4 linked regions of the Arabidopsis thaliana genome follow. The protein of the gene in region 2 interacts with the protein of the main gene of each other region in a pairwise test. Each region holds a gene or a part of one and is shown on either strand. Other genes may lie near its edges.

Region 1 (7,062 bases), on a different chromosome or scaffold from region 2:
ACTATACACGGACAGAAATGAACATTTAAGAATAACTGAGAAGAAAAAAAAAATCCAGCACAATAATTGTTTTGTTTTTTTGACAAAATTTAAAATATCATATTTACAAAAAAAAAAAAAAAAAAAAAAAAGGTTTTCAAGATTCTCAATATCCAGTAGGGTTCGTTTAGAGTAGAAATTCTTTGGTTACCTTTTAGAGATTAAGAAGAAAAAAAGTCTTTGTTCAAACTATATTTTTCTTGAAACAAAGAAATAAATTAATGAAAACGCCATTTAGAAAAGATTCATTTCTACAAACAGCGATTTTGTATATGGAAATCAAATGAAATCAGAAACGAATATTTTGACTGAGGGAATACAGAGAATATAAAATTTGTGAATATACAAAGGAATGGAATATTTACCATAAATAGTTTTATGCATGTTCTATTAATCCTCACTACCACATGTACTTATCATCCTATAAATTTTATCTCTTGAAGTTTTCACTTTAACGTTAAAGAAGAAAAAGATAAAATTGTTCTTTCTCATATTAATCACCCACAAGTCTGAAACTGCTTCTTCACTCTCAAGGCAAAGGTATGGTTTACAGAAACCACCTTTGATATATGGCTCGTGTTATTTACTTTGATTTTATTATTTAGGAGGCTTCTTTTCTGTATTTCGTTGGGATATATATCAGATTTTAGAGTACTTTTTTTTGGTCTCTAGCCTGTGCCTCGGGCATAAGAAATTAAATCATACTAAAGCGTTTGATGAAAAGTTTTCCCACTTTCTACTTTCTGATTATCAATCTTTTTCTTTTGCAGGATCAAAACTAAGAGACCAAAAGATATTGTGTACTATTTTAACAGCGATCGAAAACGACCCTAAGCTTGAGAAGAATCTCGGAGGTGTTTCATGATCACTTGGGTACTAACTTCTCATCATCATCATCATTAAGATCATCAGATCGTCTCAGCATGTGGGCACTATTCCGCGCTTTAGCATGAAGTGTGAATATCCAATATATGCAAAGATCACAGCGTTATGTGTGTTCCATGTTGGAAGTTTTCAAGCTTTTGAGTATCCGGCTCCATTGATGACTAGTGTTGTTTCATGGACTTCATGCTAATTCATTGTTCACAGGAGTAACACGAGCCATCGATGGAGCTAGACACACTTCAAAAGCTTCAAATGGCTTGCAACAATGAACACAAATAATCATGTGGTCTTTAATTTGCATCTATTATTTATACATTATGCTACAAGAACGGCATAATGACCATAAGCTGCGACCATCTGAGGATGATAATGATGATGAATTAGTACCCAAGAAATAAGGAAACAACACCTCCGAGGCTCTCTTCTCAGAAGAATAATTTTTATATTTGCCAGTTATGTTTTTCCTTCAGTCAAAATACAAAAGCTCAGTTTGAAAATAATAATAATAACAAAATATCAGTTTGTAGAACCGATTCATTTTAACTAGGCGTTTCTATATTTCTCTTTCTTTCATGTAAACGATACATTGAACATTAATTGTCTCTCTTTTTTTCTCTTTCTTAGCCTCGTTTATATCAAATCAATAGCTGGTGAATAATAAAAGAGAAGAAAGCTGTAAACAAGGTTCTAGTGTTAAAACCTTTTTGAAAAAAAAAAGGTTCTAGGGTTTCAACAGAACCTAAAAGGAAGAAAATCCTTTATCAAGACCTAGAAGGAAGCAAAGACCTACGAGACTTAGGAAACAAGATAAAGTCTACTAAAATGAAAGTGTAAGTCAAAATAAAAATAAAAATTAAGAAATAAATTTTGTGAATTGTACTTGGTTTGTTTTCGTTATCTGAAACCCTATTTCCTGGTGAGCAAGAAACTGTCGAGTCTTCTTAGCAGGATATGTAACAGTTTTAAACTGGAGTTACGACATGATTGCTCTCTATTTAATAAGTCTTTACATCTCTCAGAACAAAATAGAGGAACAATATCTTATAAGCTCCACTTCTCATTGCAAATCACATAAAAACTTTGACATAAATGATGATAAGAATTTCAAAATGATATAACATATGATCAAACTCTCATTCCAATCATATAGCCCTGCTTCGAGATACATTCATATTTAGCCCTGATTAGTGACTCCTCTAGTGACTACCGAGTAGATTATATTCATACCGACGACTCTTCTGGTGACAACTCTTTAGTTATATCATAGCTCGGAAACTGACTCAGTCTCGTGATTTGTTGCTGCTTAGCATAATTCTATCGATTAAAAAGGATTATCCATGGAGCAAGTACTCAATTGCTCCAAAGGGCTTGCGATAATGAGCACACATAACATAACCATTTGATCTTTGCATCTATTTGGATATTCATCCTGCATTGATCAAAAAAGATGAATAAAATGTGGTGGTTATGAGTGTTTCGAGTCTTCCAGATGTCTAAGACTTCGACAAGGATCAGACTCAAGCTTTGTTGAGAGAAAACCAAGTTTGGGCTACTTATGATGATTATGGAATGCCACAGTGGTATGCACTGGTCCATAAGTTTGTCTCTCAAGAACCGTTCAAGATGTGCATTTGTTGGCTTAATGGCAAGAAAAATGGATATGTGGGTTCAATGAAGAAGTGGATTGATTTAGGGTATTACAAGACGAGTGGATGCTTCTCAATTAGGAAACATAGCAACAATGATTCTCTCAACTCATTCTCACATAGTGCCTTGTGAACAATATGTGAGAAAGGATTGATGCACATATAAGCGACAAAAGGCAATATTTTGGCTCTTTATGCAAATTGGTCACATGATATTTTAACTCCCCAAGAAGTTGTGGACAAGTATGAAGTGCCTCAAGATTTCAATGAAAAAGAATGTTTGACGATTGTGACTTAAAAATAAAGTTGTAAGTTGTAAATCCCATGAGTTTAACAAGCGGCACAACCGTCACAGCTCACTCTTCCTCAAAATCTTGAAGCACTTCTACCATTTCATACTTGTTCATTTCTTCTAAAGAAGTTGAAATATTCCAAGATAGTGACCAGTTTGCATAAAGAGCCAAAATATTGCATTTTTTAGGATATATGTGCATTATCCTTTGTTACCTATTGTCCACATCAACTCTATGTGAGAACGAGTTGAGAGAGTCGTTGCTTATATGTTTCCCAATTGAGAAGCATCCACTCATCCTGTAATACCCTGAATCAATCTACTTCTTCAATAAACCCACATATCCATTTTTCTCACCACTAAGCCAATATATACTCAACTTGAAAGGTTCTTGAGAGACAACCTTATGGACCAATGCATACCACCGTCGCCATCAAAATCTAAGGACATACCCAAGGAAAGAACTATTCAGGTTCTCACATCAAGTTGCTTTTCAGTTGCTTATAGGTAAAGGAGGTGAAAATGATCCAGAAGGTCATCCATTTCCATTTTGCTCTTCCTTTTGCTCTTTCTTTCCGCTATTGATCATCCTTTTCCATCTTATCTTCGTCAAAATAGTGCCACAAGATCTTTCAAAATAGACAAATTGATTGGAAAATTAAAATTCCTAAAATTGCAACAATATAAGTTCTAATTTTGTAACAATGCTGAAACAATTTCTCCAAATATTTTTTTTTGTATAAATGTTACATTTAGTCATCAAAAAAACCATGTTTACATTATACGCAACCTTGTTCTTTGAGAGTAGACCATAACTATTTTAGAAGATAGATAATGGTTGAACAAAAATAGAAAAATAAAACCCACAACTAGATTTTTTATTTTTTTTTGTTAATTCCCACCACTAGATTTTGTACGACGAATATTTTAACATAGACACTACCTAATACTTAAAGCAACTAATATAGAACAGGTAATGAAATTCAACAATACCAAAAAGATGATTGAGGAACGGAGATTGACGGTGCTTAACAGAGTCGAGAGCTTTGATGATCTCTCCTTTATAACTCAAACATCTCCTCGTAGTGCGAGGGTTTAATGACGATTAGAGTCGCATGAGAAAATTGTTATCTCTTTTCATTGGCAACACTCAAAATCAAAAGCCGAACGAATACTAGTCTTGTGTTACACTCTCAGACCCAAACAAAAGAAGAAGAGAGAAGAGAGGAATTTTGATGTTTGTGATCTTATGAAGAGAAGGAGAAGACAATGACTTGACTTACATAGCCCAAGCTCAACGTATATATATTCATGAGGTGATCTCACCTTAACGAAAATTTATGAGATTTTGATTCTCACAACAATGTCAAAAACGTTTTCTGACCTTAATTGTCATAACTGATTTTTTGTTGTTGTTACAAAACTCTATCATTAAGGTAGATATTTTTTATTGGTTGTAAGCCCATTTCCCAACTCTCAAATCTCAAACCCAACCCATGTATGTTTGGATTTCTCCTCTTACTTACTGTATATTATATACCAAGGCAGCTATTTTGGACCTTCATTTCTCATTCAAATGATAACTTCATTTTTGACATTCCAATGCACCACCACGGTCCGCGTAGTGCTTGCAACAATGATTCTATTGTGCCGAAAAACCGGTCATTCCGATGAACGTCTTCACCGGAAAAGTGGCCACAACCACTTCATCAAAAACAAGTTCCAACACCCGCGCAAAGCTTCCTGCATGAGTTGTTTGTTTAGGAGTAGTACTCTTTTAACAAGTTTTATGGATTCCTTATCTAAGACTTCGAGATCTGATCTTAAGGGGAAACGATATCTTTGGTTTTTGAATTTCAAGATTGATATTTATCGAACTTTGTGCAAAAACCATCTATCTCTTTCCACCATTTATGTTTTCGAACCAATGCACTTCAAAGCCTATTTGGGAAAATCTCAAGTCTATAGATGTGATAAGACTTGAGATTTCGCCAAATAGGCTTTGAAGTGCATTGGTTCGAAAGGCTACGAGTATAATCAAACTGAGTATTGAAAGGTGTGTTTCCTCTTCTCCACACAAGAGTTTTGGTGCTACTGAGGAGTGATGAAACTGATAATGTGGTTATGGAGGAGTAATGCAGTAATATCTTGAAGAAGGAGGCGCCAAAATAAAACGGCTACTCTTGTTTAACTCCAAACTGTTCACTTTTTGGAACAATCCAACTCCAAACTGGTCACTTTTTATTTAAATTTAATATTTTGTTTGACAAAATTTACTAACATATTTATTAATGATCTCTCTTTTATTTTGCAGTTAAACATCAAAATGTGAGATTCTCTCTTGAGTGTCTACCTCCTCATGTTAACAAATCAAATAATTAGAGAAATAACCAAAATTTAACTTTTAGAGGGACTACAGGATTTGTACTTTGTACATTCATATATTATTGTTATATATCGTTTCATACATTAATTTGAACCAATGTAAATTAAGTAAAATTCAATTTAACATCATGAGCAAATTCTTATTAAAATTCTCTTAAAATTTTGAGCAAATTATGCTTTCACATTTAACATTTGAAAACATCATTTTTAACAAGATATTCAAAACTAAGTTTTGTACAGCAAAATTTTAACTTTCAATTTTATAGAGAAAAAGGTATTTTTTTTTTTGTTTCATTTTTATAAGACTATTATTTGGTATATAATATACACTTTAAGTAAAAACAAATCTCTTTCTTTTTTCTTCTTATAATACCAACCACAAGTCTGTCAGTCACACACATACAGTTAATAACATTAAATATTCTTAACAAACTACTAAATAGGTTGAGATTCATATATGTAAAGAGATCACTTCTTAATCTTATCCTACCATATCTTATATACGCTTAATTTTCCTTTATATATGCAAACCTCCACATAAAAATATCTCAAACCCAAACACTTCAAACAAAAAAAAAATGGAGAACAACAACAACAACCACCAACAGCCACCGAAAGATAACGAGCAACTAAAGAGTTTCTGGTCAAAGGGGATGGAAGGTGACTTGAATGTCAAGAATCACGAGTTCCCCATCTCTCGTATCAAGAGGATAATGAAGTTTGATCCGGATGTGAGTATGATCGCTGCTGAGGCTCCAAATCTCTTATCTAAGGCTTGTGAAATGTTTGTCATGGACCTCACGATGCGTTCATGGCTCCATGCTCAAGAGAGCAACCGACTCACGATACGGAAATCTGATGTTGATGCCGTAGTGTCTCAAACCGTCATCTTTGATTTCTTGCGTGATGATGTCCCTAAGGACGAGGGAGAGCCCGTTGTCGCCGCTGCTGATCCTGTGGACGATGTTGCTGATCATGTGGCTGTGCCAGATCTTAACAATGAAGAACTGCCGCCGGGAACGGTGATAGGAACTCCGGTTTGTTACGGTTTAGGAATACACGCGCCACACCCGCAGATGCCTGGAGCTTGGACCGAGGAGGATGCGACTGGGGCAAATGGAGGAAACGGTGGGAATTAATATTTGGATTGGGTTTTGTAACCGCTGTTGTGAGAACTTGAATTTCTTTTTGAGTTCTGCTTATGTTTTCAATGTTATGTTTTTTAGTTGTTGAATGTATTTCTGTTGTTTTGTCCAAAAAAAAAAAAGAATGTATTTCTGTTGTTGTCTTTCAAATGAATCTAATGGTTTATGAATATTGGCTTTAGATTAATTTATGCATACAAAAACACAAGGATTACGGATAAAAAAGTCCTCAGTTTACCCATGGAAACATAATCTTCTAGTGATTCCTTATGAGAGTAGAAAAGAATCATATATTATAATCTATTTCATAAGAGATAGGGTACTGTAAACAAGGATGTTTATTCGGCTATTTCTTTTTTTTTTAATCACTTTTACTTGTCAAGACTCTTTTGTGTTTGCAGCTTTTTGTTAGATTACATTCTAGAGGCAACAAGATCCAGAGATCTAGCAAAAAAAACTTATTTTGAAACCTGAATCTATTTTAAAAATTTTCCAACTCATTTTTCGTTCTTATTCTTTGTTTTCCAACGGAATTTGGCGCACAAACGATTTATTTGAATTTTGTCTTTCAAGAAATTTTAGCGCGGTTTTAGCGAACTCTTATGAGGAAGTTATTAATTGAATTATTTTTGTTTTTGTTTTTTCTAATTATCATTTCTATATATTTCTC
Region 2 (8,197 bases):
AGCTGAGCTTAAAAGAGTGAAGATTCAATGTGAGCAATGGAGGAAAGCTGCTGAGACGGCAGCTTCTATACTGAACAATGATGAGGAAAGAACAGATTCTATTGAGACTAGCAAAATGTTGAAGAAGTTTGGTGTGTTACTCAAGAAAAACCATAAGTAATAATAATACTGATTCTTTTTACTTGATTTAATAAAAATGGCATTATTGTTGTATGTAAATTTATAAAATTTCGATTTGTCTAAGTTTAATTTTTTTGTTGAAACGTTGCCACATTTGTTGATGAAATTTGTATTGTGAAATGTTGTTTGAATTCAATACTTGAAAAATTATACCTTACTTGTCTGAGTGTGAGCTGCTAGTAGCAAATTTAGTTTGGTCCTGTACATTGGTTTACACTTTACATGTATAGAAGAGTCAAGAGTGTAAAGTAAAAGTTTGTAATAGAATGTGAAACTCTAATTAAGAAGCCACATGAATACCTCTCAAGTCTTGGATCTTCCTTTTGACATTTTCTTCTGTCTATTTTCCTTTTTGTTGCGCACTAAACGCTGAGACGGCCCACTAGATTGTCTTTGGTAATGACAACCAAATCCACTTCATGAAAACATTTGACTTTTTTTTTTTTGGCAGAGACTAACCCATTCTACCTAGTTTTTAGATATCAGTGACAATAATTAATTAACTACTAGAAAATGTCCCACGCGATGCGTGGGTGAAATGAATGTAGTGAAATATATGTCTATAACTAATATATATTAATATAATATTAATTATTTTATAATACATTCAATAAAAAATATCATAAATATTGTGATTATGATATTTTAGTTTTAAACTAAACATTTAGTTTATGAATTATAATCTAAAATTATTTTGGGTATTTATAAATTAAAAATTATCGAATTGATCAAAAAAGAAAAATTATAATATTGATATACAAGATAAGCCTTGTGTTTTATTTAAATATATGAAAATGATATGCAATATTTCTCTGAGTAAAAGATTTCATAAGTATATATCATATTGATTATAGTATGTGTGTAAATTGTAAAGTAGTTAATAGATTTGAAGTTGTGAGATTGATAAAGTCTTGATTAATGAGTAAGATTAACATATATGAATATTGATATATTAATACTAATTGATATCAAAAGAACTCTAAATACTTTATACAATTAATATTCAAATTATTTACTATTTCTTCCATCTTTGAACAATATGGTAAGAAAGTATTGAATTTATTTACTAATGATTTACTATTTACACATGATTTTCAATAAAGAAGTTTAAAGTTATTTCGATGCACATAATCAAATATTGAAGAAAATATACCATAATTCGGTTGAAAACTAAATAAATTTAAAATTTAAAGTGCAATGTAACAAGTAACAACATACAAAATAATTTAAATTAACAGAACTTCCCACCAATGATATCAATGAAGATTATATATTTTGTATAGTTTCATCATTCATCAAATCTCGTAGGTTATATATTATCTTTATCCATGTAATTTATTTCTATATTACCTCATTTGCCAACAAATGCATCAAAAGACGAATTATTATGGTCACTATAAAACTTAAGAAACGAAATATAGTGTAAATTTAGCATGATAAGTAAAAGATAAACATTCTTTCAATTACTATGATTAGTAAAATGAGTTATAAGTTACTGTTTAGTACATAAGATTAATAATAAATCAAATGTGTACAAATAGGAATAATGTTTGTATATTAAACTATAAACTAAATGAAAGAGACGAAAATTAAAGAAGTAGCCACACATTAAAATAAAAAGTGAATATATTAAGCAGGACCAACCAAGAAATATCATATGGATCCAATAAACATTTGGCTATATATGTTTATCATTTGGTTGAGTACTCACTGTTGGTATTTTTCATTGAAAAACTAAAATAATTTTAAAGATTAATATGAATTTTAGCAACTTGACTTAAATATTTTATAAACAACATTGGTCAACTTCAAAACATGAAGAATAAGTAGAAAATGAAGGTAAAAGATACCTTGTTTCTCATGTAAAAGTGAGAAGGTACCTTAGACATTTTTCATCAAGTCATTTCTAAAGGAAATCCACCTTTCACATATTCACTTATGCATATACTCTAAAATTTGACTCAACCTCTTTATTTCAAAACCTACGAAAGTCACATAAAATTTTGTTTTTAAAGATATTTAGTTAAATATATATATATATATATATATATATATATATGTATATCCATTAATACTATGTTTATATCCTCTATTAAAATATCGGACATGTTCATAAAATAGCAGGTTGAAGACACCGGGTTCCCATGTCGAACCACTAAAGTGAAGCTAAAGGCCTTTGACACCATTTACTAAACTTTGAAACTTTGACTATGGTTGTGACTCGAATAGTTAAAACACAAATAGCTGGAGAAAAAATTAGAACCATGACATTAATAATTAAATAAAATATACATCACAGATGAGCATCGAGCAAGACATATATGATTTGCTTACCTATTACCTTCATCATGAACAGAAATTCTCAGTGTAATGATTGCTAAGAAATTCTTAGTGTAATAATTTTTAAGCCACTTTGTATCTACCATTGCACCTATAAAAGGATGTATTAGCAAAAACACATGAAACATGTTATAAAGAAGAGAAGTAACAAAGTGTGAATCAGTATCACCACATTTGGACGATACAAAAGCTACACAAAACAAATATTAAAATTATAAAAATGAGAGAGAGAAACTTGATTTTAGTTCATTTCTTTAGTGAAAATGAGAAAAATAAAAAACAACGTAATACAGAGGACGAAGCAAACCTTTGAGATTACCATTCTTTGGTTTCTCCAATCCGTCATACTCATATGGTTCGTGCTTTGTCTTTTTTTCTCTTTACTTTCAATTTAATTATGTGGAAAGACTTAGCAGACCACAAAATATTATTTCGATGTTTAAACAATCCCGAAAGCAACACAGAATGATAGAAGTTTAAAAGGAGTTGTAAGAAACAAACCTTGAGGAACCGATGTTAATGTTGTTCCTATGAAGAATCCTACCAGGAGCAACGTCACCACCATCGATCAACTCTCTAAGCCCCCAATTCTCCACCTCCTCTTCTTTCACCTCCTTCTTCTTCTCCTTCTCCACATGGCGGTTATTAGGAAGCTTCACAGGCAACCTCTCGAAGTAATTCCCGAAACTTACCATGCACGTTTTTATTATCTTCGTATAGAAAGAATGAAGCTTCAACCTCAAGCGTTAACAAATGCAGAGAAACCAACTTAAAAAAAACTGACATGCAGCGTCTTGCATTTTATAAGGTGAAGGGTTACACTAAAAATGATATTAAATATGATACTAAATATTGAAATCATGGTCATAATTACATAAATGATAATTATGTTAGTGTAACGTAACTGCTTTGATTTATGAAATAGAACAGTTTAGTTGACTAAAAAAAAAACAGCAATAGTTAGACATAATAAATAAAAGAAAACGTGATATCACATGTGTCATTAAATAGAATATTAATTAAACTCAAAGAATATGGAAAATAGTATATTTAAATTTAAGAAGAATGACACATGTCGAATGAATAAAGCGCCACTTGTAAGATTTTTAGAGCACAAGTTTGAGGAAACCTTACTTTATTATATAAGATACTAGGTTTTATTACAAAACTAATACTATTTTGATTCCAAACAAATATATATTTGCTTAAATGACAGAATAAAAACTGAATAAAACAATAAAGATAACAAGAAAAACAGTAAACCACTTAAATAATTAAATTAGACAATTAAATAAGTAGAAATTACATGTCACTGAGAAAAACCACTTATCATAACAACTATTTAGATAAATTAAATCCACTTACATAAATACAATGTATATAAAAAAGAAATCATGTTTTTTTACTATAGTTTACATGATAGAAGAAAAAAATTCACTACATTGAAATAAATCTTATATATTTTATTTCACCTAATTACTAAAAAAAGCAGAACAAAGAAACATTGTTGAGGAAAAAACAAAAGAGTTTTTTTTGTTTGTTTGGTTTTGTCAAATTAACAAAAAAAAAATGAACGGTGTCGATAAAAAAATAAAAAAGCCCTAAATCGTTGAATCGCATACAAGCTCCTATCTTCTCCAGCGTCGGATCAGATCAGATCAAATCTCTCTCTCCATCTCCGTCTCCTCCTCCAATCATCATTTCTCTCTCCGTCTCCCGCTCTTTTTCGAATTCTCCTTCTTCTTCAGGTATTCTAATCACTTCTTCGCGCTTTCTGGGTTTGGTTCCTCGATTCTCCCGATTTCCCAATCTCTACCTGATTATCTAGGGTTTCTGAGATGGCCGAATCGCAAACCGGTGGTGGTGGTGGTGGAAGCCATGAGAGTGGCGGTGATCAGAGCCCGAGGTCTTTGAATGTTCGTGAGCAGGACAGGTTTCTTCCGATTGCTAACATAAGCCGTATCATGAAGAGAGGTTTACCTCTAAATGGCAAAATCGCTAAAGATGCTAAAGAGACTATGCAGGAATGTGTCTCTGAATTCATCAGCTTCGTCACCAGCGAGTAATTTCTTTCTCTACTTTCTCAAAAATGTTACCTTTTTGTTGCTTTGGTGGTTATAGCGTGTAAAGCCCTCTTCTTTGTTAAGTTAGATTGATGTTATATTCATTGGGTTGTTAAGCAAAGTCACTATGTCGATTTTGGAATATTGTTTTGCCTTTTAGGGCTAGTGATAAGTGCCAAAGAGAGAAAAGGAAGACCATCAATGGAGATGATTTGCTTTGGGCTATGGCCACTTTAGGATTCGAAGATTACATCGATCCCCTCAAGGTTTACCTGATGCGATATAGAGAGGTATGTTCCACTTCAGATTAGTCAGTTTACATTCTGCTATACATTCACTGACTCTCTGTTTTTCCTTCTCATTTCCTTGTCTATGCTATTTGGATTGGAATTTTGCAGATGGAGGTTCGTGGTTCTCCTCTTTCATTTATCTTTCTGATAGTCGAATTTTGTACGTGGATCCTTTTATGGGGTATATGGTGTATGATTGTATCTAATTAGGATTGTCTGCTACCCTTTGCTATTGTTATCTGTCTGATAGGGTGACACTAAAGGATCAGGAAAAGGCGGGGAATCGAGTGCAAAGAGAGATGGTCAACCAAGCCAAGTGTCTCAGGTAATGACTCGGTCTTCTCCAGTTGATATGGTCGTTTACCTAAGCATTAGCTTCTCCAGCTAATTTATTGTTTCCCTGTCTTTACTTTCTGAACAGTTCTCGCAGGTTCCTCAACAAGGCTCATTCTCACAGGGTCCTTATGGAAACTCTCAAGTAAGTGTTTTCCGACAAAAGAAATGTTGATACTTATAAATGAATTCATTCTCTACATAGAGCAGAGCCGGGGTATAAAGAGAGAATATTATTAACAATTAAAGGATTTAAGGACTTTAATAGACTCGATAAAACCGTCATATATGCATTATCCACTTTTTGAAATCTAGACATAGGTTCTCATATGTTCCAGTCTCTGAGGTTCGGCAATAGCATCGAGCATCTTGAAGTGTTAATGGTATTTGTAATCTATCAATATGCAGATAATTGATTAAACTCGTTTGTGAATGTAGGGTTCGAATATGATGGTTCAAATGCCGGGCACAGAGTAGTACTAGGACACTATTCATCACAATCTTCCGAGACTCGACTATGCCTGTTGTGTCTGAGAATCTGAGTGATCCACTTTCCATAGATATGGATTGTGGTATCTCAGTTTTTGGGAGAGAGAAGATTTGTATATGATTGTGTTGTAGGGAGAAGAGTTTGGTTTGCTTATGATAAGAATTGAAAAGCACCTTTTTTTTCTTTTGACTGTTATGTTTCTTAGGTTTTGGTCTTAAGCAGAAGCTATTTATCACCACTTCATTGGCCTGTTGATTCTTTCATGCAAGTGAGCCCGTAACTTTTATAAAACAACATCATGATTTATAATTATCTCTTTGATTTTTTGGTCCTAAATTCGAGTTTCATTTGACATCATCCATTGATAAAAAGAAACGAAACTTGATATTGAATCGTTGTGGTGTGGTAAAATTCACGATCTAAGTTTGTGATAACACTCCGTTTATCTGTTGGTGTATATTGATAAGGCTTTCTGTTACTGCTCAGAATCTAACACATGGGACATGTGAATGTCATATGGAACATGTTCATGTTTATGGGCCTAATCTTGATCAAACAAAAATAAAAACTTTGAAATTTAAGAAAAACTGAATAACAGAATCTAAATGAAACAATAGTAAGAATAAAAAGACCAAAAACTCTTTAAAAGAGCAAAACCAAAACCTAAAACTCTTGAACTAAACTCAATGCTTAGTGATGAGGTCTGAAAGGGTAACTACCATCTGTTGACGGTAGGTGACAACTTCTTCTTGGGAACATTCGGGAAAGTAACAGCTTCGGTTGATGGTTGCACCGTGACTCGAAGCTTAATCCCAGCCTGACAAAGACCGGTCTTTAAGCTTACAAAATAATGCACTCCTGGTTTAGTGAGCTTAATGAGATCGTGTCCCGTTTTGTACACAGCTACAGTAGAAGTCGATTCGCAAGATCTGAACTCAAGTTCATCGGTGATTTCCCTAACGTCGTTGAGTTCCTTGTTGTATTGGAAAAAGAGAGTATCTTCAACATGAAACTGTTTACCCTCACTCCACTTGTAATAGTAGTAACTGTAATAAACGCTCCATCCTCCGTAGTCACCAACTCTGTAGATCTTACCAAAAGGAAGGATCTTGCTCGGTGGTGGTGGTGAAGGAGTAATGCGACGTGAGGGTTCATGGGTCTTGCTCGGTGGTGGTGGTGGTGGAGGAGTATTCGGACGTGACGGTTCATGGGTCTTGCTTGGTGGTGGTGGTGAAGGAGTAATGGGTCGTGACCGTTCATGGGTCTTGCTTGGTGGTGGTGGTGAAGGAGTAATGGCTAATGGGTCGTGACCGTTCATGGGTCTTGCTTCGTGGTGGTGGAGGGATCGGACGTGACTTTTCATGGACGACAAAAACGTCTAGTTCCAGTCCATTGACGCATTGAATATGATTTGAGCTGATGAAGTAGTGAATTCCTGGTTCCTTGAGGGTTACGACATCATGTCCTGTATTGTAAACGGCTTTAGGAGAAGAGGAGTTGCATGACTCGTACTTTAAAGCATCGGAGAGTTGAGTGACGTCGTTAACGTTCTGATGGTATTGGAAGATCAAAGAATCCCCGACGTGGAATTCCTTACGCTCAGCCCAAGAGTTCGTCTTCCCACTCCACCCTCTAGAACCTCCAACTTTGTAGATTTTCGCCGAGCAGCAACTCAAGAGAATCGTGATCGCGAGCACAAAGCCAAAGATCTTCTTTGTGATCATGTTTTGATCGTATAAGAAGAAGAAAAAAAAGAAAGATGATGAGATCTCTAAACTCGTTGGATCAGGAAAAGTATTTGGAGTAGAGTTTATGAATGTGTTTGTGAAAAATAAGTCACGTATTTGCTCTGTTTATATAGAGATTAACCATCCCAAATCATAATCCTTGTCTTCTTAGGATTTCGTTTAATTTATCCTCTTTTTCTTTATATACAAATAAAATTCAAAACTTTTTTCCTAATGTAATGAAAAATCTTATCTTGTTTTATTTTATACAATTACAAAATCTTAGAATTCTCTATTAGTTAGTTCATCGTATTTCGGTCGACGGCTATATGTTTGGATATTGGGTTTTACGCATTAAGGCCCATATGAGGTCAAGTTTGCTTTTTTTTTTATGGGCTTTATTAGGCTTCAACGAGATTAGTTTTTAAAAGTAAGAAACAAAAATAAAAATGGAACAAATCCAACGGTCGAGAGTCGATCAAAGACATTACACGATTCATTAGTGAACAACCGCGCTCACTAACTCAAAAACCCTTGATTTCTCAAAGAGTGGGAACAAATCGAATCTAATCTTCAATTCAAAATTTTATCTTCTTCCTCAGTCTTTGGGATCTTTGAGCAAACTCAACATTTCGATCTCTCTGTTCAATGGAAGATAAAGAGAGCAAGAAAAGCGAAGTTGAGGTCGATGGCCTTGGTTTGATTGATGTCGCTGTTGAAGACGATAGCCTTCTCTTCTCCGAGTTTTCCGGTGAATTACAATATCTCTGCTTA
Region 3 (7,286 bases), about 12 Mb from region 2:
GAAATTATGGATTTAAGTCGTGCTAATGGTTTGCTATCTTTTTTTTTTTTTTTTTTTTGGTTTGCTATCTTTACAGTTGCCAGACCACTCAAATTTGAATCTGCGTTAATTTTTTGTACTAAGATGAATTATTAACTTATTATATGTAAATAATGAAGAAATATTTCGGAAAATTCAATGAAAAAGAGAGATGATCAAATAGATGAAGAAAAAGAATAGATGAAGAAATTAAGAATTAATAATAACGGTGCGTAGACATTTGAAGTGGCTGGTGTTTGAGTATGTGAAAAAGTGTTGAGGAAAAACTTTAATGCTTTTCAAGGAAAGTAATAATTTGGTGGAGGAGTTTGTACTGTTTAGTTATGTGTAACGCTTAGAACTGACGAAAACATAACTTACTATAAAAGGAAAGCTCATCATGCCATTCAAAACCCAGACATTGTCGGGAACATGCAAACCCTCAGGTTTTGGGGAATACCAAACTTCCAGCATATATACCCTCTTGTCCAAATCCAACTATGGTCGTCACATACACAAGTGTTGCGTATCTGTGTTACTGATTTAAGAGATTTTAATATCTTCCTATAGTTTTGTATGATTTGTTCCGTACGTGTTGACCTTTTCAAACCAAAAGAAAAAGAAAAAGATTAAGGAAATATATGGCGATCGAGTAAATTATGACATGTTTACAGATTTTGCACTCATGAAACTGAAATATGCTTTGGGAATTGTTTTCTAATAATGATTTGTTACCCTCAGTGCAATGATTCAGTCAAAAATATTTATATTTTTGTACAATTAGTCAAGATCACACGCAAACACAGTTTCTATTCAACCCATTCAGATTTGAAATAAATTGATAAATTATCATACAAAAGTCAAAATGACAAAAACTAACCAAAAATGCTATGAGTGTCAAGAGTTTGAAGAAACTGAAAGCCCTCTTTTCGTATTCACAAACAACAGAAGCCTTGATTTGTGGTAAGCATATTCAAATGCTTAAATATTAAATTTAATTTCTAGTGTGCCAACCGAAAATTCATATACATATAAACGTGATATCTGATACTAACAAAGTTGCAAAAGCTCCTTATCAGAAAAAGACATAGTTGCAAATGATATATACATGTGAAGATTCATACTCCATCAAATAACATGTTCTTTTTCATAAATGATATTCTATTAAATTAAATTAGTATCTCTATAGCAGAAAAAATAAGAAGATAGAAACCCTAAGTACACGAAGAATTACTAATAAAATGAAAATTTCTATTTAGTATGTTCCACGAAACTATCTATTTCGAATCTTACTAGCCCGTTTGTTAATTGTTACCTAAAAAGGTAGGTTAGATGTGTTAGTTCGAAGGAGATTAAGACAGTGTCCAATTTGCTTGACGATATATGATCAGCATATATAGGCACTATATGAAGTGCGAATTTTAAGTTTTGAAACTAGTGAATCGTTCCAAGGCAGAACTCATTGATATGTTTTACTTTTTTCTTATATATGCCCTTGTATAGGAATTCAATTTGAAGTAGCTAGCAAATTTAGTTTCATCTAGATGCGACCTACAAGTTCCACTACCGTAGTAGAGATGAAAGATATGGATTGAACAAGTAGATTAAAAAAAGTATAACAAACGATCCCTCTCCAAAAGATCAACTATGTTTTCGGTTAAAAGAATAATCATTACTTTTATAAAGCATGCTATTTTGTAGTTCTTCATACATATTATATTAAAAAAAAGATCTAATATATCTATCTAACTATGTTGTTATTATTGAAAACTGTGCAATTGTATATAGGCTGCCCCAATATATATATATATATATATATATATATTTACTTATTTATTTGCACGCAAAAGATAAAAATAAATTATCAATCTTCAGAAAACAAAAAACAAAACAAAAAGTAAACTAAGTCTAACATATCAATTTACATGAAACGTAAGAACTAAAATATGTAGAAATTTATATACGATCGAAGAGATAAACAATAATTAAGGAGACAAAATTGTATCCATTGTCATACATAAAACGGTAACAAGCGCATACATATTATATAACATCTAACGCAAGCTTATAGCTTATACTATAATCATATAATCAACTATAACGTTCTACTAAATAGCAAGCTTAGAGAATTTCATATGGATGAAACTAATTAACCTTAGAGAAGCATCATATCTTCTAGAATTGTGAACTTCGAATCCTTTATGGATAAAGTTATTACCATCTAATTAAGCGAAACCCAAACGGAGTTCTAGATCCAGATCTTGCTCTGATTCGTTAATCAAACCAATCTCAAGCTCCAAGCTGATGATTTCATCATTCCTCAGGATCTTGCAAGCATCTTTACTGGTGAACCTTGTAGCCTCTCCAGCCTCCACTAAAAGAGATGATTTCTTAGTCTTACAAGCGTTTTCTGGTGTATGTTTTGACTTGGGGCTCAAGGAACGGATCAAACCTGCCCTATATCTTGGTGAGGATGGAGGAGAAAGGGTTGGAAATAGGGTTAGAGGAGAATGATGAGGAGGAGGAGAGTTTGCCATGGTTGAGTAAGAGTAATTAGGGTTAGGGTAAGGAGGAGAAGGTGTTGAAGATGATGATGGAGACTGTTGTAATCTGAGTCTTGCTCTGTCTCTTCTGTGAACATTCATGTGGCCACCAAGTGCTTGAGCCGATCTGAATTCCCTTTTGCAGAAGCTGCAAGTGTAGGATCTTGGTGGCCATGAAAACCCTAGAAGATAATCATGATCCTGTTGGCAATTATCATAATCTCCATAGCTCCATGGTGAAGTTCTTGCACGGCCATAGAAGCTGTTCCTCAACTCTATGCTGTTTGATCTCTCCATATGTGCAAGCTCTTTCTTTTTGGCTATGCTAGATAAAAAAATTGTAAAGATAATTAAGATAGTACTAGTAATGATTTGTGGTACATCAGTTTATAAAAGCAAAGTGTTTGTAAGATCTGAAAAGATGAACTCACTTTTTTCCCCTGGGAAAAATCTAAGATATATCTATGTCTGTCTGTCTCTTAGAGAGAGAGAGAGAGATATAGAGATGAGAGAGAGGTGTGTGTGATGATAGGGTTGGGGCTCTTTGGTGTTAAGACTGTGAAAGAGACTGATTCTTGGACGCATTATCAAATCCCCATCTTAGATTTAATAAAATGAAACTTTAAAGAAAAAGCTTTATTTATGTTGGGGTAAACATGTATTAAGCGAGCTTTTCCATGATTTGATCTATGGAGATGACACAAGTTAATTAAGTACATCTATTACTTTCATTTAATGATGTTACACCTTTAAGTTTCGTGAAAATCAACAACCAATTTTGTCTTAAGATACCATTCAGTGATTTTATGCTATCATGAAATAGTGTTTATAGTGTTATCTATTAAACATATTCACAATTTTAACGAGACCTAAAAGATATATGGAGTAAAGATAGCATATGTGTAATTAAGAAGGAAATGAAGTTAATATTGAGAGTCTGAACAATTTGTCAAACAATTTATAGATAAAATCCTCAAACAATTTGTCACAAATGAAAAAGAAAATCGCACTATCAAAAATATCTCAACATAAAATATGATTTTATTGAAAGGAAAAAGAAATAATAGAATGGGATGGGGAAAAAGAAGTAGAAATGAGTGTAGGATTTCACTTTACAAAAAAGAAAGTCAATTGTCTTGTAATCATGTTATGTAAAACAAGCATTGTGAAAATTTTATAAATAACCAAGTTATCGTTTTTGTATCGCAATCGAAACATGATGAAATCACAGAATATCAAACTTTTGTAACACCAACAAATTTAGCGACCAACAAATAAAACATTTCACAAGCAGTAGATACCATGAGAAAACACTATTTTTAATCATAATTTTCTCTTAAAGTAGTAGATATATGTTATTATTATAAAAGGTAGAGAGGAAAGAGTGATGGGTGAATATGTAAAAGATGGGAGTGTATAAATAAGGAAAACCTCGGCGAGCAAAAGGACATATTATATCAAAAGTTTTATACCAAAAATGGAAAAGTGGATGTTCCTTTCTCCCATTTTTCTTAAATACATTTAATATAGAATTTATCATCTATATGTATTAATAAAGCTTTCCTCGTGAGCCATATCTTGACATTTGTTTGTTAGCAAATCATAAATAACGACACACATTATTATTAAACTTAGGTCTTTAGATTTTGCCTTTCCTTCAAAGTTTTATATAATACTATATAGATTCATACATTGTCCCTTTCTTTTGTTTTATATAGTTAATATATCACCATGTGTTCTGGACCAATTCCTTTCAACATGTGTTGTGTTTGCTCAAATTGTGACCCTTTACTTGACATTGATTTCATCGTCGGCACATATCTATGTTTAATTTGGAGTTGTTTAATTATATATCTGGAACATTCTATGGGATGAAAATTAAATGTTTGAACTTGCTAAATTTTCCATTTTATGGTTCTATATAGAGGAATCTGTGAGGTATATAATATTGAAGGATCTAGGGAAATTTGAGGGGACAGATTATATGAATTGGGAAGCAACTCCTGTTGATTTTAAGAGATTTGTTTTGCGATATAATTAACCCGAGTCGAGCTGATCTTGAGTTTAATAACATCTGTGTTCTAAAATTTAAAATCGCATAAATTTGCGAAGATACGTAAAAACAAAAATATGTTTTGAAAATTCCTTAAATAAAATTAGATTTTAAAATACGGTTCATGCATGGTTTACATATGATTGATCTAGTGAAATTGAATGTAAGAATTTTATGTTTGAACTCTTTGGATAAAATAGATTTACTAGTAGGATTGTTAAAAGGCCAAACTGCAAATAGTTTGGAGGAACCGTACAAATGCAATTACAAAGCTCAACATTCACCAACGAGGAAAGTCTCATTTACTACACATTCAACTGCTTTATATATATATACCCAATATGTACACATTTCACAATTGTCGAAACACAAGAAATTATCTAACCATCTCGCCCCTTTTCAATCACTCCTCTCGTTGAAATCCAACTTTTGTTACATGTTACTACACTTCACCAATTGACAAAAAAAAAAAAAAAAAAAATCAGCTGAGCTTAATATTCGTAGAAGTCTTGTTTTATCTTCTAAATATGCTACTTAAGACAAAAAATAAATAATATATTTTACCCTTTTTTTTCGTCAAAATAATTCATAAAAAATCTGACCTGCTAGGAAAAGTGCCTTGATTAGTTTTTTTTTTTTTTTTTTTTTTTTTAAATCATTGATAACATTCCAAATGGGCTTGGGTTGAAGATTACAAGTATCTGATCCAGTTACAAAAGCCCAATAGAAAAAAGAAAACTATCGACGGAATTGAAGGATCGGACCCTTCTGATGGACGATTGCACGGTGGCCGGAGTCTTAGATCCGGTGAACCCGAAATCCCCAACTTCACGGCAACCACGGTGGATCGACGAGCCACAGGCGGAAGTGCCTTGATTAGTTATTCACGTCAGGAAGAGTATCTACTGAATAAATTAATACAACATACTCATACGGAATGATTAGACTCAAAGTATTGCGGAATTAACCAATGGATTTCTTAAGGTTCTCTGACTTGAAATTAAATTACTTTATACATTTTGTTTTTGTATTTTTCAAGATCCTTAAATTTATAATTTTACAACCACGCAAATGTAATATTGTTCTTCTGCGCGTCAGCAAAAATGTCTCTTTAACTCAAAGTTCTATATCAAAGTAATTAACATGTGTAACTTGTTTGCATGACACATGCCACATATAGTGGGACGGATTTTGGGCTGTTTGACACATATTAGTTGTGATCTTTGTACCATACTTAATGTTGTGGTAGATGTTATTAGTATATATTGTACGACGTTAATCTATTTAAATTAATAATAGTAGGTTCCAAATTAAGGACGATGAAGATGTTCAGGTGGATCATTGACGTTGTCTTTTACGGATTATCAATGTGCCGACTAATTAAAACTAATTCGATAAACGAATGAAAAAATGGCACTGGAATAAACCAAATGATATAAATACATCAACTATTTTACCATCAAACAAAAATCGATTTATTATGAGTCTTCTGAAAAAAATAAAAATAAAAATGGAAGTCTTAAGCAAAATAAATTTAATATACTTAAAGACATTTTTTTTTTACTATACTACAATATTAAAACATAGTAAATGAGTTGTCACTAATCTTTTGCTAAAAGAAAATGGATTTCTTAACCTAATAGCTAGTAATGATCGCCTATCCATAGTAAATTTAGAATTGCATGACTCTTTCTAGTTTCTACGAAGTCCAACTAAAAAGAAATGTCACACCACCAATTTAAAAAGGTATAGCAAAAGAAAAAGTTCCCCGTTTATTTCCAATATTTTTCGGTTCTCTATCATTAATTTTCACTTATCCAAAATTTATAATAACCTGAAATGATCTGTTACCTGGTGAATGGAGTGAAAAAGATGGGAAATTTTCGGACAGAGAGAGTGGAATTAGACAAAAGATTCTGCCAAAATTAGAAGATGATATCTCTCATCATCGATAGGACACATCCAACGGCTGAAAGAGAAGGTCTAAAAGTCTAGTGGCCACTCTCTTTTTATTTTAATTTGTTACTTTTATTTACCATTTGTGAATAAAGGGCCTAGATTTTTCAATAGCTTCGTTGATCGAAGTTGCAGAGTTTACTCGCAGTAGTTCAACACTTTATTGTTTATTGCATGAGCCCCTTCCCTACGTGTTTTACATCATCACTAATTTTTTTTCTCAAATAACTACTATTTTTACTTTATTATAAGACTCATTATTGTTTATTTTCTTACAAAATTGTGAAAGTCTCTTTCATGAATTTGAATTGAGAAGGTTTTGTTTTTATCATTTTCAACATATATTTGGCTTCGTGGTAAAACTTTGTGATTGGCTGTCACATTTCATGTCAAGTCTTGTTTTTTTTGTTTATATTTTTTTTTCTATTCTTTTTTTTAAAGGTTTGGTTGCAACCTAAAGAAGTCAAATGGAACTATACAAATTAGAATGGTCGTACCAACAAATACTGATCGAAGTGGAACCGAATAGAAGTATCAATATGGTTCGATAACCAATACAGAAAAAAGAACCGGACAGGTAATAATTTGAGCTAAATTAAAGAGTTATTTTTTTTTCTTTAAATATATCCTAAAACATACTATCTCTCTTTCAAAATATAAACTGTATAAGGTAAAGGCATGTTTATTAAAATAATTTGTTTTTTTTCTTTAAAAAA
Region 4 (8,330 bases), on a different chromosome or scaffold from region 2:
ATTGACCCACTTGGTAGCTTGAAAGCTACTTTTAGAAAACATATTGTGATAAATATATAGAGAGCTTGTGTCAGCATCAGTAACATTATACATATCACTATAGTAGCATAGTGTAGTAGATTTTGTAGTGCATTGATAAAGTTGGAAAAGAAAATAATAAGCTAGAAACTTAAGGGATCTTTGGTTTCTTCATATAGATGCACGAATGTTGTTGGCTTTGTAAAATTATATATGTAGGTGCATCCGAATGCAAAATTAGATATATTTTGAATGTAATGAAAACTAGAGTTTGAATGCAATCGTAGCATCAACAAGACAACAATGATCAAACGTCTAAAATATCATTCTTTGAATTAAAAATGAAACAAATTTAAAACAACGTCCGATTTTATATATGTTCACCAATTTCATAAAGAATTCATGAATTTGCCATCACTCGAGAATCCAATTTTCTTATTTGTTATAAAAATGTTTACTAGTGTAGTTTTTAAATTAACAAAAATTTATTTGACACTAACTAATATCCAAAAAAAAAATAGAAATAGAAGAATCCTACTCGATGATGTTTTATTTGACAAAATTTTATTTGACACATACTTCACATTTGATGATGTTTGCTTTTTACAAGAATCCTACTCGAATATATGGTTAATCTTTAGCAAGAAAATAGAAGAATAAATGAATAACCTCTCCCGAATCTGTGAATAGTCGATGAGCTGTTTCCAAACGAAATTTTTTTCTTTTCTTTTCATCTAAATGTGCATTGAGAGTCATCATTCGGATTCAACATCCAAATTCAACGCCATGATGTTGGTTATGAATTTTTAAAGAATACAATGCAATCTTGTATCAAAATAACTAAAGACAACATCTGTTTAAGCTATTAGTTTTTTTTCTTATGATCGATTTAATTTTACATAAATTAAATAGCTAGAAAATAATTTGTATTCAATGAATAAAATTTTATGTGAAGATAAAATCGACATTGATTAATTGGCTGCCTAGATACCGTTTACTTTGATCATCAAAAGTATTCTTCCACCGATTTATAAAAAATCATGGCGACCTAATAACTCTATACCCATACCCTTCGAATGGGAACATATTGATGGGTACATTTCGTTGACAATAGAATCTTAGATATTTTATTGTAATTACCACAAGAGTTTTCTTAGATATTCGTTGCAGAAAAAAAAAACAGGAAAACGATTTATAATTTTCTTAGATATTTATATATCCAAAAAAACAAACAAGAATTGTAATTACCACAAGAGTTTTCTCTCTTTCTTCTACAAATATGATATATATCTATAACTCCTCTAAAACATATTTATCTATCTCTCTATATAATCTATACACAAAGATTGATGGTGACAAGATCATTGGATTGCTATCTCCAGTTCTTCTGGTTTAAATATCAGAAAACAAGGATCAAAGGATAATGCATTAACCAAATTTCGAAATTACTACTTTGATGAGCAAATGTAATAGAATTTGCTTCTGATTTTGATGATTGATTGATGTCAACCATGTTGTTTCAATGAATCTTGCTTAGTAATGAAAACCGAGGCTAGATGTGTTGTAGAGACTCTGTGATTGAGTTTCCCAGCTTCCAGATGGCTGAAATAGAGAGATACAGAGACAGGTTACTTCACTGACAAGGAACAAAAACTCTGACAAGTTTTTCAGTTTCATATAAAGCTGTACTTACAGCTTCGATAGATGTCGTTTGGTTCGGGTTTATCGCAGACAAATCTAGAGATCCTTGCTGGTCTAACGGAAACAATGGCACATCAACCATTATTGATTGCTTTGAAGCAACTACATTTGTAAAGTAAGCCTGAAACTGAAAATTTCATAACCCTTAAGTTTGTTGAGCAATATCAATATGACTTTGAGGGTCTAGACAATGTGTTTTCACCTGTTTTACGGATACATCTTCCACGGCAAGCTCTAGTTCCGGGTTCAAGACAGCAAGTTTCATCGACAGGAACTGCAAAGTATGGCTCTTTAAGAATTAGACTTATTCTCTTTGGTTAATAGTGAAGTTAAGTTACAGAGAATCATGGTTTCATTGCTTACCTCGACTTGTCTTTGGAGACATTGAACATAATTGATGATCTCATCAAGCATACCAGCTTTTCCTGTGACCTTATTGCATCCAGGCACAATATCTTGCAGATATTTCATTTTCTTGCTGATCTTTTCTCTTCTCGCCTGCAAATCCAAATCCATTCAGAAACCCTAGATATATCATGATTCTTGTATCACAAGAAACTTATTTATTTTTATTACCCTTTCTGCTAAGCTGTGTCTGTCAGTGGCTTGGCCTCGACGAGCTCTCACGTGGATATAATCTAATTTCTGATTCTCTGAAGCTCCTTTCGATGTCTCCTTTGAAGTGTCTGAAGATGCTTCAGTGTTTCCCATGTTTGATTTTCCTTTCATGCTTGACTCTGTCTCAGCCTCTACTTTGATCTTCTTCTCTGTCTTTTGCTCTTCCCTTGTCTTAACCTAAGACATTATTAATAAAAAATATCAAAAACCATGTCTCAAAACAAAGTTTTTATCCAAAATTTTGATCTTACAAACCTCTGGTTTTCTCTTGTTCTTCAAGGCAACGGCTCTGGTTTCTTCACCGGTCTTCAACAAAACCTCCATTGTATCCACAGGTTCCATATGGCAGCTACTTGTTCTTGAAATGGATTCATGTGGAGGACCAAAACCCATGTTATAGTTTGGTCCAAAACCAGATCCAAGCATTTGAAATTGGCTGAAACTACTCTCCAACAACTCATCATTGTTGCTTCCATGGAACTGAAGTATCTGAAGAAGTTCAGGTGAATTATTACTGCTATGGGACACAACTTGTTGCAGTTGCTGTTGTTGCTGTTGTACCCATTTAAGCCTTTCAAGTACAGACATGTCCATAGAGTTTAAGGACAAGCTTTCTTGAGAGACAAGACCTTCCAACATATTGTTCTCTGCAGAAATCTTTCAACTTATGATCTTTTAAAGTGAGACCAAAAGTACAAAACAAAATAGAGAATGGGAAAAAATGCAAAAAAGCTCTGAGTTATTTGGTGGGTTTAAAGCAAAAGAGGATTTGCTATAAATGTATGAAGAAGTAGAGATTTAGGTTATGTAATATTGTTTTTGGGTGGTTGCTTAAAAAAGATGAAAGAGTTGGGAGAAACTAATCCATTGAAATCATTCTTCTTAGCTTTAAATAGAAAACAACATTGACCCACACACATAAGGTCCCCTACTTCTTATGTTTTTATTTTATTTTCCTTTATAAATGTAGAAATTTCATTTACTTATTTGTTATCTCTTACCTCTCTAGAAATAAATACTCTCTTACCAATTCAAAATGGTACCACACGTTTTTTATACGCCACAACTTTTTTATACGTATCCCTTAAAAAATATATAGCAATAACAATAGTTTTCTATTTTACGTAGATGTTCAACATAACATTTGTATCGGATTTGAGACCGATCTTTTATGATAAGTTTACGAAAATGGTCGTACTGTAGCTATGTGATAGTCACAAATGACAGTGAGATAGATTAAACGTTAGCGTTGGTGGATAAATCGGGTCCATCGTTTAGAGACACTTGACTATGACTAGGAGAAAAAAGAGGCTCAAGAACAAATTGCGGAAAATAGTAGTAAAGATTCGGTATCTAAGAGAGAGAGGGACATAAATTGATAAAAGAAAAGGTTGGGAGCAAAGAAGGTGAGAGGAGAAGGTGTAGGGTCTAAGTGACATAACCCACACCATGTGGGCATGTCCTTATGAACACTAAATTTAGAGGTTCTTTATCCCTTCTTTGTGTGTGTTATGTTTTCTTTTTTTTCTTCTTCTTTTTTGCCCTTTCAAGTTTATGAGAGGAGCTTTACAAGGAAAAAATAAACAATGAGTGAGACCTTAACATATATTGACATTTGGAATAGTCAAATTAATTGAATTCAATCCAAACTAAAATTCAGAAAATTGATTGTTTCTATAAAACTTACTTACAAAGTAAAACCCAAACAAACTACATTGAATCCATGTAACAAAACTTATATTAAAAAAAGTTTGACCGCAAAATTTGCATCATGACATTATTGACATGTAGTCTAATAGTTTGTATTTTGTGTTGTAAATTGTAATTGTATCAGTACAAAAAAAAAAAAAACTGAAAAGAAGAAAACATCGCTAGAGAGAGGGGTCGAACCTCTGACCTTGTGGTTAACAGCCACACGCTCTAACCAACTGAGCTACTCCAGCTTATTGATAACAATAATATATAACTAACTATATTCAGTTAGTTTGAAATAAAGACACAAGACAAGATCATGCAAAAGATCTTGTCATCTTGGGTTTTCCATAAAAGAATCAAACGAAAATCCATGAGTAGATAGATAATACAGCAAGACAACAAAGAACAGTATACCACCAACCATTGAATATTTTAGAAATTAATCTATAACATGACATGTTAATAATTAAAAGCGACATCAAAATATATTTAAAATATATAAAGAAAACAATGGGTTTGAAGATAAGTGATTGGAAGGTAGGAGACCATTGCTTTTGATCAGAGTGTTTGATCATATTCTTCTGTCTACTAGAGTGTGGGCTTCCAACCTAAAACCAATTGGCAATAGGTGGAGAGACCCATATCTTATATATACCACTTAAGATCCTACTTAACTTCCGATGTGGGACATTGTCCCTAATACGCCCCCTCGAGATGATGGCTCTTCTAGCCATTGATCTCGATATGTTTGGGCATGGATCGGCGGGCCAAGTATTGGGCCGGACCGATGTGGATCGGGTTGAGTATGTGCGGATCGGGCTCTGATACCATATTAGAGTGTGGGCTTCCAACCTAAAACCAATTGGCAATAGGTGGAGAGGCCGCTATCTTATATATACCACTTAAGATCCTACTTAACTTCCGATGTGGAACATTGTCCCTAATAGTGTCCTTCTCCATTCACTGTTGTAATACTATTAAAGTTATAAGTTTACCCACTTCCAAATTTCAATCACATTCATAAGAACTGCAAAACGAGCGATTTTTTTTTTTTTTTGGATTTAAGTTCTTATAAGTTTTCCATTGTGAAAAAGTTAGCTAGTTATGTTAATATTATACATGTAGCAATATAGCACAAAGTCATTACTTTCAATCTACATAGTTGGACCAAATTGAATCAACTTTATAACATTGGCTGCATTAATGATTTTTTTCCTAAAAAATACAAGTCATGATATAATTCTTAAGGTTTCTCACATCTAAGATGTATCTGTCTAACAATATTAAGTTGTTTCTTTTTGATAAAAAGTTTTCTAATTTGTTTACTGATAATATCAAACAGAACCGTTGTAATAACAATATCGATGCCAGTAACAAAAGCTTATATGTTTTTTTGTTATGTGTAACAGTCTGATACACAAATAGATTACTTTTTTTTCAGTGTTTTCACGTCCAATTCGGACCCTCCAGTTCGACCGGTTAACCCACAATCCAAACACTTCTCTGGTTTGGGTTAAGTATTAATAACCGGAAATACTTACTATTGGACTCAAGAAAGAATGAAAGGGTGTGATCCATTTCAAACCCCATATTTCTTAATATGTTTTGATTTTACAGCAGAGAGATTTGGACAGGTTCTTCCTCTGCCATTTCAGCATCATGAGGATGATAACAATAATGAAACTCTATCTTGCGTTAAAGAAGAGAAACTCTCGGTGTTATATCAATCCCTGTGATAGAGATTTGGATTATAACTAAGATTGAGCCCTAAGTGGTGTTGTGGACCCCCTTCTTAAAAGTTGATATAGAACCACTCACTGTTCTTGATTTTCAGTTTTATGAAGAGACTTGCGGTTTCTTCATTGATGAAGAGAAGAAAGTCTTCGTGGTTTTTGAGTTAGATGAATCTCAAGCCTACAAATATGCTTACATCATTGGAGAGAATATATGCTTGAAAAAATTGGATCTTGGAGAAGTTAGAACATTTTCTTGCCCAATTGTGTGCTCCAGCTCTTATGTTCCAAGCTAAGTTTAGTGAAAATCAAGGAAGAGGAAGAGCAAAATTAGGAAAGAGAAGAAGTGAAAGCGAACCAAGTTAACAACAAGGTCTAACACTACACTATTAGTCAAAAAGGAAACAACAAGAGTTACAATTTATTAATAACTTATAACTCTTCTTTGAATTAGAAAGAAAGAAAATAAAAAAAGCTCAACTTTCATTCGTTTTTTTTTCCTTTTCTTTTGCAATGTCCTTTAAACAAGACTAATATAATATTAATTTTGGTCATAAGTAGTATTTTGAAAACTCTTGTATTATTTTCTTTTGAGCTTGAGTTGGAGACAAGGTGATATGTTCGAATTTTGAAATGAAAGCAATCGGCATGATGAACAGATTCAAAGTTCTAGTACTCATAGTAATACCTCAAAGTGTAGCATCCAATGTTGGGCCTTATATCCAATGCAAACATATGAAGTCAATGTTGCGCTTACATTAATTTTCAAAGTAGAGGAAGTAACTGTCGACTACAAACAAGCTTCGATGTTGGGCCTTACATCCAATGCAAACATATGAAGTCAAGCCTAGTGTAATCAACAGTGCGTGTGAAACAAATGTAACAAAATAATAATAAATGGTCACAAGTTCCTTCTATGACGACATTGTATTGCATGTCATATATCCAATATTCCAAGTGACCAAGTCGAAATCCAGTTTTATTTATTTGGACAATCCTTCTTTCATTCATAATTTCCCAACTTCAACGAGGACTAAAAAATTAAATTGTATTAATAAATATATAGAATTGAAACACTATAGTCTATAAATATATATAAACACTATACTACAAACCTCAATATCAACATTTACTTATTTTTAATCAAAAAAATAGGCACCAAATAAAATACCCTTCTATCCGGACGAATCCTTGTGCTTCTGATTCGATTACGAGACAAATTGAATTAGTTTATATCTTAAAATAAAAAGTATTCAAAAGCTTAGAATAATTATGATCTGGACCAGATATGGTAAATAACTAATGCAAATTCCTTTGCAAGAAAAAGTTGAAGAACTTATTGTTGCCACACTCCCACAACTAGTTTCATAGCGCCACCACCAGTAAACATGCATGTGTTTGATTCCTAAGGGGTTTTTAAGTCGACATTAAAAAGGCTAAATTGTTCAAATAGTTATCTTACAGATTGTTTTCTCATGATGGCTAAGCCAATGCTCTATGAAATTTAACTAAAAATTATATATTAAATTTTGCTGTCGAAAATTCGATAACCAAAAATCTACATAAAACTCTTGGATATATGCTATCTACTAAAAACAAAAAAAACCATGAAGATAACATTATGCGGGTTTGAATTTTGGATGATGATACAATGAACATACCAATCTGAACCACTAGATTTAAATGTTTTGATCAATAAATTGTACAATTAAAATGAAGTTTTTAACAAAGTTATTACTTTATATATATTTTAAAATTTTAATTCTTATTTTATGAAAAAGTGAATAAAATTCGTTTTTTTCGTTTCTTTAAAAGGTGAAATCATAGTAACCACTGTTTCTAAACAATTTTCATTATCTTCAAATTAAAAGATTCATTTTTTTTTATTATTTTTGTTAACCGAGGACTATCCAAAGTCTTACTATATAATCTTCCAAAATCTATAAAAATTTCAGGTCAGTGAAAACGTTTACGGATGGTCATAGATAGTTGAAATTGGGAAAACTCGAACCCTGACAAATAATATTAAATTTGAAAAAAAAAAAATCAAGATTCCATATAATTAAATGTTTTATAATTTACGTGGGCATGTGAGTACGAGGGAGCATCTTAACAACATCGACTGTGGAACTTTTCAAAGGGATCATGTAAAGTTGGAATCTGATCAAATAAAATAAGAAAACCTTACTTTAGCAGCGAAGTTTGGTCCATATAGGCTATAGAACAACAACGAATACCCAATACGAGTAGCACATGACGAGGTGGATCATAGTAAAATGTTGATCACAAAACAAAATTTAATGAGTGAATTAGGTAGATGACACAATTGAATTAAGAAAATAGTAATGTAGTTTTTTTTGTTAGTTTTAATTTTATCTTTCATTTAAATGTTATGAGAGATGTGAACTTTATTTTGTAGCATGTTATTATGTCATGTGGACCTTTATTTCATTTATTAGACGCATATATTTGTTGTTATATGCATGTACGTTTACTTTTACAAATGAATGTCTACAGCAAAAAAAAAGAACTCTAGATTCTATAGCTCCATCCCATAAAATAGAT

Evidence for each region.
Region 1: the proteins of NF-YB10 (region 2) and NF-YC5 interact in a two-hybrid assay, tested with the Arabidopsis thaliana proteins (one large-scale study listed by BioGRID).
Region 3: the proteins of NF-YB10 (region 2) and SUP interact in a two-hybrid assay, tested with the Arabidopsis thaliana proteins (one large-scale study listed by BioGRID).
Region 4: the proteins of NF-YB10 (region 2) and HBI1 interact in a two-hybrid assay, tested with the Arabidopsis thaliana proteins (one large-scale study listed by BioGRID).

What each region holds. Positions count from the first base shown.
Region 1 is NC_003076.8:20,559,934-20,566,995, reverse strand, and holds NF-YC5 (nuclear factor Y, subunit C5), read left to right. Parts: upstream 1-5,767; 5' UTR 5,768-5,825; coding exon 5,826-6,386; 3' UTR 6,387-6,562; downstream 6,563-7,062. Other genes in the region: AT5G50500 (uncharacterized protein), read left to right, coding at 4,439-4,846. UniProt on the Arabidopsis thaliana protein: Stimulates the transcription of various genes by recognizing and binding to a CCAAT motif in promoters.
Region 2 is NC_003074.8:19,772,153-19,780,349, reverse strand, and holds NF-YB10 (nuclear factor Y, subunit B10), read left to right. Parts: upstream 1-4,060; 5' UTR 4,061-4,268; exon of another isoform or gene 4,269-4,348; 5' UTR 4,349-4,358; coding exon 4,359-4,582; intron 4,583-4,743; coding exon 4,744-4,873; coding exon of another isoform or gene 4,874-4,894; exon of another isoform or gene 4,895-4,981; coding exon 4,982-4,987; coding exon of another isoform or gene 4,988-5,083; exon of another isoform or gene 5,084-5,123; coding exon 5,124-5,198; intron 5,199-5,294; coding exon 5,295-5,351; intron 5,352-5,644; coding exon 5,645-5,683; 3' UTR 5,684-6,021; downstream 6,022-8,197. Other genes in the region: RIP3 (ROP interactive partner 4), read left to right, coding at 1-160; AT3G53342 (uncharacterized protein), read right to left, coding at 2,997-3,215; AT3G53330 (plastocyanin-like domain-containing protein), read right to left, coding at 6,412-7,074, 7,151-7,420; AT3G53320 (mediator of RNA polymerase II transcription subunit-like protein), read left to right, coding at 8,072-8,174.
Region 3 is NC_003074.8:8,238,076-8,245,361, reverse strand, and holds SUP (C2H2 and C2HC zinc fingers superfamily protein), read right to left. Parts: upstream 3,107-7,286; 5' UTR 2,859-3,106; coding exon 2,244-2,858; 3' UTR 1,990-2,243; downstream 1-1,989.
Region 4 is NC_003071.7:7,951,471-7,959,800, forward strand, and holds HBI1 (basic helix-loop-helix (bHLH) DNA-binding superfamily protein), read right to left. Parts: upstream 3,270-8,330; 5' UTR 2,977-3,269; coding exon 2,593-2,976; intron 2,515-2,592; coding exon 2,296-2,514; intron 2,218-2,295; coding exon 2,083-2,217; intron 1,994-2,082; coding exon 1,922-1,993; intron 1,847-1,921; coding exon 1,712-1,846; intron 1,621-1,711; coding exon 1,566-1,620; coding exon of another isoform or gene 1,552-1,565; exon of another isoform or gene 1,171-1,551; coding exon 1,076-1,170; 3' UTR 934-1,075; downstream 1-933. Other genes in the region: AT2G18320 (F-box associated ubiquitination effector family protein), read left to right, coding at 4,750-4,839, 5,158-5,193, 5,867-6,061. UniProt on the Arabidopsis thaliana protein: Atypical bHLH transcription factor that acts as a positive regulator of cell elongation downstream of multiple external and endogenous signals by direct binding to the promoters and activation of the two expansin genes EXPA1 and EXPA8, encoding cell wall loosening enzymes.